Notamacropus eugenii: one gene and its partner. The main gene of each other region encodes a partner of the protein of the gene in region 2 in a complex. Links are inferred from orthologs where the notes say so. Each region holds a gene or a part of one and is shown on either strand. Other genes may lie near its edges.

Region 1 (6,014 bases), on a different chromosome or scaffold from region 2:
GGGGGAGGGTGCCCCCTTTGCCCTCCCTGCCACTTGGACTGGCCATGTCCAGGACAGAGCAAGAAGCAGAGTGTGGTGACAGTACCAATGCCCACATGCATTACTAACTGCCCACACATCCGATGTCCTGGAGGAACACATGTTCCTAACCCCCAAGAGGCCTGGGGCAGGGGTGGGAGGCCAGGCCGGAGGCTGGGTCCCAGTGGGCTTGGGATGCCCAGCAGCATGTAGCGGGCAGGACGGTGCCTGTGAGGGGCTGCGGATTGGTGCCAGGGGGTAACAAGACCGAGATCCGGATCCTGACTCCGGCCACCCGCCTGCCGCCGCATCTGTAACCGCCCCTCCCTCCCAGGGCCTCCGGCCCGGTCCCAAGGGGGCGAGACGGGGTGAGAAGGAGCGTCCGGGCTCCGCGCAGCTCCTGGAGGGAGGGGCCCTCGGCGCTTCGCCCAGGACCCCTGAGGGTCTTCCCCGCCCGTTGGTTTGGTGTTCTGGATTGAAGGGGCCACGCACGGAGTCACTTAAAGAACGGGTGTATTTCGCTCCCAGGGAGACGCGCTGAGGCTGGGCCCCGGAGGGCCGGGGTCTCCCGCGGCATCCCGGCCGCCTCGGGCCCAGCTCGCCCAAGCTCGGGCCCGGGGCCCGGGCCGCTCACTTCTCCAGGGGCGCGTAGTTGAGAAGCTTCTCGATCAGGTCCACGTGGGCCAGCAGCATCCTCCGGCAGCAGTAGCGCTTCAGGCCCAGCGCGTCCAGGGCGTCCCTGCAAAGGACGGTGAGGTCGGGGGCTGGCCTCTCCCGGTCCGTGCCCCCCCCGCTGCCTTGGCTGCAGGGGTCCACTAGGACCCTCGCAGTCCCTCGGGGGCGCCTACCCTTCGGTGTACTCCGCCTGCAGCAGCCCCAGGTAGGCCTCCCACTTGTTGCCCACGATCTTGCCGCACGTGAAGCAGCGAACCGGGATGATCATGGCGAGGGCGAGGAGACGGCAGCACCGGCGACGAGACGTCCCTTCTCTTCTGGCCCTCCCTCTCTCCGCCCCGCTTCCGCTTCCGGCGCCGAAGCCCCGCCCCCCCGGCCGCTCCCATTGCCTCGAATGGGGGGGTAGGCTCAGGAAGCGGCTCGGCCCGGCTCCGGGCTTTCTACGCGGGCCCGCACCTCTAGCCCTCTGCGTCCGGGGTCCCGAGTCGCGTGGTTTCTAGAAGCCGCGGCGGCGGCACGAGGGTGGGTTCCGCTCAGGATCTCCCCTCTGGAACGCCGATGGTCTCGCCCGAAGCTACGGCGGCCCGCGCAGGCCAAAAGAGCCTGGCGGGAGCCCGGGCGCGTTTCTCGCGCTGGGTTTGAGTGACAGCTGGGCGGCGGCGGCGGCGGCGGCGGCGGCGTCTGCACTTAAGAGTCCCAAGGCGAGGCCGAGCCTAAGCCGCCGCCGTCGTGGCCGCCTCCGCCCGCGCGTACGTAGCTCGCTCATTCTCTCTCAAGGTGGGCTCCGGGAGCTTCCAGAGCCTGGCCGACCACCCCGGCCCTAGACGGTGCAACTGGTGGAGGCGCCGCCGCCTGGAGCGCGCGCGGTGGCTGGAACCTGTTGCTTGCGGAGCGCCAACGGGGCCACGGGCCAGGTTTTGGCCCCGGGACTTAGGGGAAACTTTCCGTCTTGGCTGGCTGGGGCTCGGGGCTACGGGGGATGAGGGGGAGGAAGGCGGCTGGCCGCCTCTGGTGCCGACAGCCCTTCGTATTTTCTGTGAGGCTCGGAGTCTGGGGAATGGACGTGCTGACCTCGGGGACCTCCCTCCACCTTCTCCAGGACTGGGTTGACGGGAGGATCCCGAGTTCTCCCTGCTCCGGCCCCTGCCCCCCGGGGTCATTATTGTGGCCTGCATCTCGGGTTCAGGAACGTCCCCCCATGGCCGGGGGAGGCTCCGTTGCTCCTCCTCGTCCCCTCCCCCAACTCGCGTACCAGCCTGGCCCGACCCCCGGAGCCGCCCCCCACCTCCCGCGGGTCCCCGCTGGCTGATTGACTTCAGATGCACGAGGTGGGGGGGCCTCCAGGCCAGTCCCACGAGGTGCCCCGTCCTCTTTGGGGAGCTGGAGCGGGCGGCGGCGCTGATGCCGGACTCTGCCCTGCTTTGCAGGCTAGCATCTATCCCTCCCTGTCCCGTCAGGTCCAGTCCGGTCCAGTCCAGCCCAGTGCGTCCTGCCCCCTCGTCCCGTACGATCCTGGCGGGATCCCAGCCTGCCGCTCCCAGACCCGCGGGAGCCTGCTTGGCCCGAGGGGCACCTGAGCTCCTGGGCTCAGGTAAGTGGCTTCAGATCCCCCCCCGGGCAGCTCAGGGAGGAGGAGCCGATGCCCCTCTGCCCCCTCCCCCTCCCTCCTCTCCCCTCTCCCCATCTCTTCTGCCCCCTTCCCTCCGGGCATCCCCAGGCGCTCTCCCCCAGCCAGCCAGGAGGGTCCGCCCTTGGGTCTGCACATAGATGTGGAGGGGGACCCTGACGGCACCCCGGGATAAAGCGGGGTTAAAGGTGGTTTCCTGGGCCTGAGGGGGCAGGGTAGAGACCCTAGTCCCGAAAAGCGGGGAGATCACAGCCCGGTTCTGAGCCGAGGGTAGCGCAGAACCCGGCACTTGGTTTTCGGGAGGTTGCTTGCTTCCCTGTTCCGGCCCAGCCCAGGCCTCCTCGATGGGAGTATCTGCCCCCGCTTCTAGTTCCGCTCTCGGGGACCTAATCCCAGGCCACAACTGGGGAACCCCTGGGAGGTGGGGAGGGCCGACATCTGTTCTAAGCCTCGGGGATCCTGGCGCCAGAGGAGGGGCAGGGATGCCCCATAAGGCTGGCTATTGGGGGTGGGTGGGGGTTGGGGGGCCCTGGCTGCCTTGTGCCAGAGCAGGGCTGGAAGAAGCCCCGGGACAGGCCAGGAGGGAGGGGGTCTCTGAGGGCTGGGCTTAGCCTTGCCATCTGCTTTTTAATGACTGAACCAGGCTCCAGGATTTCGGGGCCTGGAAAATGCTAACCCACAGTGGGGGGGGGCCCACAGGGAGGGCTGGGGCTGCCGACCTCCCTCTCCTCAGTGGGATGCTTAGCTGGCTGCTGGTTTCTGATCTGTGGAGATCCTCAGGCAAAGGCATCACAGGATGGAGAAGATGCAGGGTTAGGGGGCCCTTGGCCTGCTTAGTCATGGGGGGGCTTGCAACTGGGGGCATGGCTTTCCTCCCTCAAAGGGGCATTATGGGTCCCTTAGAGGGTGGAGGTGGGGGCAGGACTGGACTTGAGATTTGAGGGCTAGAAAGGATCTCACTTTATTTGCTCAAGCCCCTCCTTGTATGGGAGGCCAGACAGGGTGAAGGGACTTCTCTAAGGTCATCTAAAAGATAGGGGACATTCTGTTGGACCAGGGTCAGCCTTTATGAAGGGCCATGCTCTCCCTCCCTCTCTCTCCCTCTCCCCTTTCCTTTCCCCTTTCCCTGTCTTCTCTTCCCCCAGGCCTTCCACCCCCTGGGGGGCTCATACTGGGAGGGGGGTAGATCCAGATTCCCAGGCATTCAGTCATTCGCAGCACCTACTATGTGCCAGCAAATACATGCTAAGAGTCACATCACAGAGATGGGGATCCAGCGTCCCTGCTTCTGTCTAGGAGAGACCACCCACATGCAAAACAGGAAGGACTAGTTCCCTGCCAGCTCTGGGGAACAGATACAGGAAGACACATACAGAGGAAGGGGCAGGGGAGCCTGACAGGCAGCTGGCCATCCCACAAGGGGGGAATGAGGAGAGAGAATCTTCCAGGCCTGGGGGCCAGCCAGTGCAAAGGGGTAGGGGTTGGAGCTCATGTGGTGTACCTGAGGTGCCAGTTTTCCTGTGGAGTTACTGGAGCCTGTTACAAAGCAGGGAGGGAGGGCCTTGCCCTGCCTCTGATGCTGCTGGGACACACTTTTTAAGTATTTCAGCCCCTAACTGGTGGGGAGTGACTGGTCAGACTTACCCTCTGGGGTCAGATATGTGGAAAGCGGATTGGAGAGGATCAGAGAGGGTGCTGGAGGCAGGGAGAGACCACTGCTGAAGTATGGGGAGGGGGGAAGTCAGGGAGGTCCTGTGCACTGGTAGAGGGTCACAGGGGCAGCAGGAAGCACCTACTAATCGCTTGCTTCATCCTAGACACCAGGATGCAGCTAGAGACAGACTAAGCATGATCTGTCGTCTGATTCCATTTTTTGGGGGGAGGGTGTAAGAGGAAGAGTTCAGAGCAGCACCAAGTATGGATTCTGGGAGCTGTGGGAAGGGGGAGAGTGCCGTGGGGGGTATCATAAACTCCATCTGCATCTGCCTGGAAATGCCTACTGGCCACCTTGGTGAGGGAGGCTTGGAGCTCAGGAGCCCAAGGGAGCAGATGAAGGGCCAGAGAGAGGGGAGTGCAGGGCCTGACCCTGAGCTTGCCCTGCCCCATGCTGTCTGGTGGGTTTGGGGGCAGGGCTGCCCCTGAGGTCATCTCTAGACAAGACTCCTCTGGGGTCCTCCTCCCATGCTGGCCCCCCCCAAATGCCCTTGGGGGCTGTCTTCAGACTGCAGCAGGCAGGGAGTTCTCACCCACCCTCCCTCCATCCTCCAGTACTTTGCCAGGCTCCTGGGTCTGGGGAAGCAGCCATTCCTCTGCTGTAGAACCTTGGACCAAGTGGAGCCCAAAGCATTCCTGTTTACCATCCTGCTTTCTAGCTGCTTCATTGGCCTGCCCTGATGGGTGTAGCCCAACCCTGGTCCCCCAGATGCACAGCAGTACACACCCAGGTCAGGCCCTGACAGCAGGCGAGAAAGCCTGGGAGAATGTTCCCAACCCCGACCCTCCTAGGACTGTGGGGGTGGGCAGCTTTTGGGGGTTGTAAGTCCATGGAGCATCCACGGAATGCCTCCCATGTTTGGGTGTGGGCTAAGCCCTTACTGAGGGAGCTAGAGGCCAGGTGGCTCCCCGTGAGGACATGCAGAGGCTGGTTCCAGTCACTGTGCACTCCCAGGGATGGAGTGGGGGAGGATCTGCAGCTACAACCCCCAGCTTCCTTCCTGGAAGACCCCAGTCTACCCCTCCCCGGGTGTGCATCCTGTTTTAAGGACCCCCATCCCTCCCCCCGCACCGATCCCCGCTCGATGGATCCTCTTTCCTCTTCCCTGCCCATCCACATCCCCATACCGCCTCTTGGAGCCTCAATTTTCCCAGCCATGGAATGGGAAGGTGGGGCTGGCAGGCTCCTGTGTCTCTGAGCCTTCTCTGGGCTTTGCAGGATATGGCATTTCTTAGGAAATTGTGTTCTACAGCGCATCTTGGCACACTGCCTGCCACAGAGCAGGGTAAATAAATGCTCCTTCCTTTCCCCTTCACATGGTCCCTTGCACACAGGCATGTGTATATATGTGCATGTGTGAGTGTGTGTAAGTATGTGAGTGTGCACATGTGTATGTGTGTGGATGTATGCATGAGTGTGTGTGCTCATGTGTGTGCAGCTGCACATGTGCATGTGTGTGCATGTGCGGCCTGGGCCTGATTGGAGCAAGGTGAAGGCCAGGCCTCTGGCCTCCAGGAACCTGTCCTTGGATGGTCTGGCCTGGACATGGCCTCTGGCAGGCAGGAAAAGAGGGAGTGGGGATGCAGGAGAGCCCCGAGGTGGGGCAATGGTCCCAGGAGCCCTCTAGATCCTTAGAAGGAAGACCTCGTGCCCTCAGCTGGCATTTTGTGAATGTTTCTAAGTTTCCCCAGTACTTTGCCATGGGCTTTCAATAGCCGAAGGGGTGAACTTCCTATCCTCGGGTCTATTCAAGCTAACCAGCTAGCCTCATGAGGTTCTTGCTCTGTGATTCTGTGCCAGCTAGGAGGGTCTCCAGAGGGCCTGAAGGCCCCCTGGGAGGGGTTGGAGGCCAGCCTGGATACCTGGCGAGGCCTCCCGGGGAGCCTGCACTGCATGTGGGCCATTTGGGAGTTGTCAGCCGTCTGTGTGTCCCCAGTATGAGGAGGGCAGGCAGAGGGGCCTCTGCACCAGGAGAGCCTC
Region 2 (6,975 bases):
CAGAAGAATTTGTGAGTAAACAAGAGATAGGGAGCATTGTAGATATAAAATGAATAATTCTGATTACATTTAATTTAAAAAAGATTGGTATGAACAAAACCAATGCAGCCAAGATTAGAAAGAAAACAGAAAACTGTGGGAAAGTTTTTTATAGACAGTTTCTTGGATAAAGGTCTCATATGTCAAATATATAGAGAACTCTGTCAAATTTATAAGAATATGAGTCATTCCCCAACTGACAAAGGATATGAACAGGAAATTTTTATATGAAGAAATCAAAGCTAATATAGTCATATGAAAAACAGCTCTAAATCATTATTGATTAGAGAAATGCAAATGAAAATAACTTTAAGATATCTCATATCTATCAGATTGGCTAAAATGATAGAAGGGAAAATGACAAATGTTGGAGGGAATATGAAAAAATTGGGACACCAATACAATGTTGGTGGTACTGTAAACTAACCTGGAGAGCAATCTGTATTTATGCCCAGAGTTGTAAAATTTTGTATACTCCTTGATCCAGCAATACCACCTATTAGTTCTGTTTTAAGATGATCAGGGAAAAAGGAAAAGAATCTATATGTTCTAAAATATAGCAGCTCTCTTTGTGGTGGCAAAGAATTTGAAACTGCAGGAATGCCTGTCAATTGCGGAATGACTGAACAAGTTGTGGTATATGATGGAATACTACCGTGCTATAAGAAATAATGAGCTGGATGGTCTTAGAAAAACATGGATAGATGTATAAAATAATGAGGAATGAAATGAGCAAAACCAAGAGAACAACATATACAGTAACTGCAATATTGTTTTAAGAACAACTTGGAGCAAATAAGTCATTTTGACTTTTATAAATACCCAAATTAACTACAAAGGACATATGATAAAAGATGCTGCCTGCATCCAGAGGAAAAAATGACAAATAGAAGTATATGTAGAATGATTTTACGTGTATATACGTATCCATCTCATATCGCTCTTCTCAACTTTTCCTTTAGTCTTCCTTAAAAATGAATAAGAACTTATAAAAGAAGAGGTTATCCACTCTCAGAGAAACAGTGGACAAATAAGTCTAGTACAGTCTTACATAGATGCATATGAATGTATATGTCTATATATTAATATGATTATAGATATCTAAGTATATGTAAGTATAAGCAAGTGTATGCATGTAAGGGTATATGTATGTATGCATGTATGTATTTTATATGTATACTTATGCATATATATCTGAACTTAATTGTAGCCTTCTGGGATAGAGAAGGAAGCAGGGGGGTGGGGCAGGGGAAAGAACAAGTAAAGAGAGCACAGCAGAGAACAAAAGAAAACTTAAAGGACACAAAGATGGACAGCTCAGAACACAATGTGTAGTATTTATTATATAGACTGTCTTGAAACGGAAATTTATTGCTGTGTATTGCAAATCCTTTCATGTTCTGCTGTGCCCATGACAATTCATCTTTTCTTTTCTTATATTGTATTGTTTTGATATTTAAGTTTATAATATGTTTCTTTTTCTTATTGTGTATTTAAGTTTTAGTATTTAAGTTAAAAATACATTTTAAAAAAGAAAAAAACAGAAACAAAAAAATAAAAATAAATGAGAAAGACAAAGGAATAAAAAAATTCTTATGTGGAGATTGTTTACTGATATTTGACTCAATAACCTAAATCCTTGGTCCTAAATTTTTTTTTGGTATTATGTATCTGTATATAGCAACAACCTGTAGTACCTGTCTTTAATAAGTATCACTTTAATGTAGACATTAAGGTCATTAACACAGAATGTAGCACCCAGAGGATGTAGGACTATTTTTTGCCTTTCATTTTATCCCTATTGCTTAGCAAAGTGAATGGTACATATTCAGTACTTTAAAAAAAATACTTGTTGCCTGACTCTGGTAGAAAGATTGCTGAATTTGGAGTCAGAGCAGGTCGGCTCTACTACCAGTGCCACTGTGGGTGAATCATGTCCCGGCTCTGACCCTTTTTCTCATCTGTAAAATGTGGGTTTGTACTAAATGACCTGTATGGTCCTTCCCAGTTCCATATCTATGATGCTATGATGAAAGCGAACCTAGCAATCTGAGGAAAAATGGAAAAGGTTTAAAATAGTGGTGTGGGAGGGAATTTGATCGTTCAAATGGAATCAAATAGAAAAAAAGTACATGGCATTCAGCAAGGCCCACCTAATGTGACAATAATGTCAATTTATGCAGGAGTCAGTGGTTCTGGATTTGTGATTTCATCCAGGAATAATATAATATTATAAATCTGGAGTTGCAAGGGACCTCAAAGGCTAACTAGTCCAAAATTCTCATTTCACCAATAAGAGAAGTGAAGTCCAAGATGGCTAAGGGACTGATCCAAGTTTACACAATAGAAAGCATCTGTGCAGAACCAATAACAGAGAAAGTGTATAGTATAGTATCATTTTACCCAGAATTGGTAAGGTAGCATTGCAACTGCTGACCATGGGGTCCCAGACACAAATGAAGTCAGAAAGGAAATGAAGGAATGAAGGACTGGAAGAAAAGAAAAGGGTAGAGGGCCTGAAAATCATCAGTCAATTCAATTCAATTCAGCAAGGATTTCTTAAGTGCAATGTGTGATTTAGTGGAAAGAAAATTGGTTTTGACATCTGAGCGCCTGGGTTCAAATCCAGCCTCTCGTGCTTACCACCTGTATGGCTTTAGGCAAGTGACTTAATCTTCCAGGGTTTCATTTTCCTGAAATGTAAAATAAGGGGGCTTGCTGGAATGGCTTCTGAGGACCCTTCTAGTCTCCTCTCCTGGATCATATGTGTCATTTATTGTGCTAAGCATAGGAAATAAAAAAAGGAAACAGTCTCTGTTTTCAAAGCCTTATTTATATTCTACCGCAGGAGACAATATGTACATAGATATGTAAATACAAGCTATATACAAAGTATTTGAGGGTGTGAGATAAAAACATAGGGAACCACGACAAGTGGGGAGTAGGAGAAGTACAAACCCAGGAAAGTCTGCAAAGCTTATCAAAAGAATAATTCCCTCTGCTCTGAATACATGTAGCATACACGTGCTGCGTGTATCATCTGGCCCATTTCATCAAGCCTTACTTAGTAATATTTCACATTCTAGCATGCTTATTTTCCATTATCCACCCTGTCTACTGAGAGGCCCTCCAGATCCATGGGCCTTGCCATCTGCCCTGATGCATAATGAGCCCTCCCCGACTTAGCTGGAACCATAACTGGATCAATTGTCACTGGAAAGGTAGTGTCAATCAATCAGTCAACATTTATCAAGTGCCACATGCCATCAACATTTTTGCCAATCATTCACAATCCCAGTGACTTCCCAAATCAAAGCACCCTTTACAGTAACTTCCTTCTACTAGAATAAGTACTTGGGGGCAGGAACCATCTCCTTCCTGTTTTGGTATCCCCCTGGACTTAGCACGGTACTGGGCACACCATAAGCGCTTAATAAATGCATTTTCTTTTATGCCTGTCCAGGCACTCATTCATAGCAGTGACTAGAAGAGGGAGTTTCACTGCACTGCTTCTCGGAGATGGAGCAGTTCTGAGTGATAACAGATGTTTATCACTATGGAGAGGAGGGTCACGGAATAGAGAAATCTGGGGAGAGGGTGTGGGGAAGGTCAGCACCCTGGAGAGCTCGGAGCCATGGGAAGACTTTTGGTAAGGAATGCAAAAAATGTTGTGCATGACCTTGGCGAAGTCACCTGAGCTCTCCTCTGGGAGCTGACGAACGTTCTCCCCAGGCTCTTCCCCAGCTGCCGGTCCATCTACAGCTCGTCCATCACACCTTAGCAAGTCTTTATTCTGTAATCCTTCTGGGGAGCCCGGCCCTACTAAGCAACAGCGTAGAGATCTACAACTGCGCCTCTTCTCGGAACAGCCCGGTAGGAGCCGGCATCCCCGCTCCCCGCTCCTGTCCAAATACTTCACAAGCCACGCCCACTTCCCTGAGCGGAACGAAGGATGTATGTCCTCCACGAGGCACCGTAGGGTTCGGACGTAGTGCGCAGGCGCGGCTTCCCCGGTCTCCGGAGCGGCGTGCTCCCCTCCCCCAAACTAGCCGCTTCCCGGCTTTGGAGCGACGCCGGTGGCCCCAGACCTCCTGACTTCCTTCCTCGGACCCGCGCCCCCTTCTCCTCCACCGGCGGCGGCGGCGTCGGCGCAGAGTCATGGCCGAGCGCGGGGAGCTCGACTTGACCGGCGCCAAACAAAACACTGGAGTGTGGCTGGTGAAGGTAAAGGCCGACTGAGCCCAGCCCCCCAGGACGCCCCCTCCCCCACCGGGGGTCCCGCCTTTCTCCCCCAAGCTCCAGGGGGTAGTCCCAGCGTGGATTGCGGGACAGTTACTGTCACAGTGTTTCACTCCACTCAGCACTTGGGGTAGGGGGTGAGGTTGGGAACGCAAAGACTGGGAGGCTGGACTTGGGGGAAACATAACATGCACCCAGAAAAGTAAGAGCAGAACGTGAGGTTATCCGTGTAGAGCTGGAAGTCCCGCTCCTTCATTTAACAGAGGAGGAAACTGAGGCACCGAGCGGCCAAGTGACCCGGCGTGGCGGGGAGTCCGGGGAGGGCGCGGGTGTCAAACAGCCTGCAAGTGTCCGAGTCTGCTTTGGAGCCCAGGCTTAGCGTGATGGTTAGATCCACCGGTCCAACCGGCGCGTCCCATGCGGTCGTGTGGGAGGGGCCGCAGTCTGGGGCCCCGGGGGCGACCCCCTGGTGAGCGCGGGGGGGGGCGGGGTGTGCAGGGCAGAGGGGATGAGGCTTGTGCCCTCCTGGTACACGGACACGATCCGCAGGTTGTAGTAAGTGTGGGTCTAGGACGGCAAGGAAGAGGGTGACTGAAGTTCAGGGAGAAGCGCGCCGTAGAGAGCAGGACGGAGGAGGAAGATAGCGGAGCGTCTGGACGGAGGAGACTGCGCTCGGAGAAGTCCAGCCGGCCATGTGGTCACTTCTCTGCCGGCCACCGAGGACGGATAGAGCGCTGGGCCCGAGTTCGGATGCTGCCTTCGCCCTGTGGGCCTCAGGGGCCTCCTCTGTAAAGTGAGCTGGAGCACACCCCAATGGAGTCACAGAGTTGGACTTGACAAGTGATTGAACAGGAAAAGAGGAGAAGTTGTTTAAGGGTAGAAGGGAGGAAGGTAATGAAGCTTCCTGGAGAGGTTAGCTAATCACATGGTGCAGAGGCAGAACAGAATAGTGGTTAGAGTTGGAGAGGAAGAAGGTGAGCATGGATCAGGGTACATTTCGTGGAAGAGGTGATGTTGGAGTTGAGCTTTAGAGGGGGAGGGACGGCACTTCAGGCTTAGGCACAGTGGTGGGAGATCATTACTTGGATGGGTAAGCAGGTTGTGATAGATGTGATAGTGGGAGGGTAGCCCCTCTCCGCTGATTTTCCCCACCAGACTTCATAGGAGCCTAATCCATAAAGTGTGTACCTGAGGCACGCTTTGAACCCTCTTAAGTGCCAAGCCACTGGCTTCTAGGCCTCTTTCATCACAGTGTCATTCTTATTGTCACATTTCAAATGGACCCTGTGAGTGGCCAAAGGAGGAGATATGTATTTATTAATTTGTTCATATTGTATTACACCTGCAGTAACTATTTTTCTGTGAATTGATCAGATTCTCAATCCTGGCATGTTTTCAAAATGTGCTCTAATTCTTCTTACCAGTTCTAGTCATGTTTAAAGACAATTTCATAAAGCTGTTGAATCAATCCAGAAATAATTATTGAATACCTGCTAGGGTAGGCATTGTGATCGATATAAAGAATCTGTGTTCCCTGTCTATAAGAAGTTTGTGGTGTAGTTGGAGACGCACGTCAGCACATGAAAAAGTGAATAAAATTAAATAGCAATAAAGACAATAATATAAGAACTCGCTTGCCGGGTAAAGATAATAATTTACGTGGTGTTTTAAAGTTTAGAAAGTCCTTTTCTGACTACAACCTGTTCAGGGAGATAGTGGAAGTCTCATCATTACGTTTTCGTAGATGAGGATACTAAGGCCCAGAGAATTTAAGTAATTTGCTCAAGGTTATCCAAGTGGTCTGTGTAAGAGCACAGACATGAACCCAGGGCTCCTAAATCCCAAGTCACTTCATTATGAGTCACTCAGCCAGCAAACATTAAGCTCCTACTATGTGTCAGGCCTACTACTTGCTAGGCACTGGGCCTGGTCTTCAAGGAGCCAACATCCTATTGAAGGAGACAACGTGCACATATGTACAAAATACATAAGAGTTCAGGGCTTTCTTTTGCTTTGGTTTTGGTGGTGCTTGAGATGAACTTCTGAGGAAGCTAATAGGGATTCTCAAAGGTGGGAGAGAGAAGAGAGCAGCTTGTGCAGAGGCAGGGAGATGGAGTGCCCTGTGTGAGGGACAGCCAGAGACCAAAGAGTTCACAAAGGGGAGGGATGTTGTAAACTTGGATAGACAAGCTGGATCCTGGTGATGAAGTGCCTTTGATGCCAAATAAACTATGCATTTGTGCTTGATCCCAAGGGACTGTGTGGTATAGTAAAAGGAGCATTGAATTTGGAAGGGCCTGGATTTGTGCGCAGATCAGTAACTTAAGACCAGTGTGATCTTGGCCAAGAATTTTAACTTTTCTGACTCTCAGTTCCTCATCTGTAAAATTACATTGGAGTACATGGCTTCTTCCTTTTTTTTTCTGCCATAAAGATCAAATTGTCTTATTTTTCTAATTTAATGATTTTATTATGAACTTGTATAGCCATCAACAAATATAATTTCTATAGACAAAAAAACAGAAAAAGAGAATTGTATATGAAATTGAAACTTAGGTATAACTTTGTTTTTTTCTTAAGCATACAGTACATTGTACCCTTCTGTTTGTGTCTCTGAATCTTCCTTTGCTTTCTTGATATTTTATGTCTCGTTAATGCTGTTTTTCTTGAACAATGCTATTATTTCCCTTGTTTCCA

The links. Proteins that work in one complex are often made in the same cells at the same time.
Region 1: GTF2F2 (region 2) and POLR2L share a complex: the UniProt entries of both Homo sapiens proteins name them as parts of the TBP-based Pol II pre-initiation complex. The link is inferred for Notamacropus eugenii from reciprocal best matches to the Homo sapiens genes GTF2F2 and POLR2L.

What each region holds. Positions count from the first base shown.
Region 1 is NC_092873.1:27,457,214-27,463,227, reverse strand, and holds POLR2L (DNA-directed RNA polymerases I, II, and III subunit RPABC5), read right to left. Parts: upstream 1,055-6,014; 5' UTR 962-1,054; coding exon 867-961; intron 758-866; coding exon 649-757; 3' UTR 515-648; downstream 1-514. UniProt on the Homo sapiens protein: DNA-dependent RNA polymerase catalyzes the transcription of DNA into RNA using the four ribonucleoside triphosphates as substrates.
Region 2 is NC_092877.1:295,657,703-295,664,677, forward strand, and holds the start of GTF2F2 (general transcription factor IIF subunit 2), read left to right. Parts: upstream 1-3,951; 5' UTR 3,952-4,197; coding exon 4,198-4,263; intron 4,264-6,975. UniProt on the Homo sapiens protein: TFIIF is a general transcription initiation factor that binds to RNA polymerase II and helps to recruit it to the initiation complex in collaboration with TFIIB.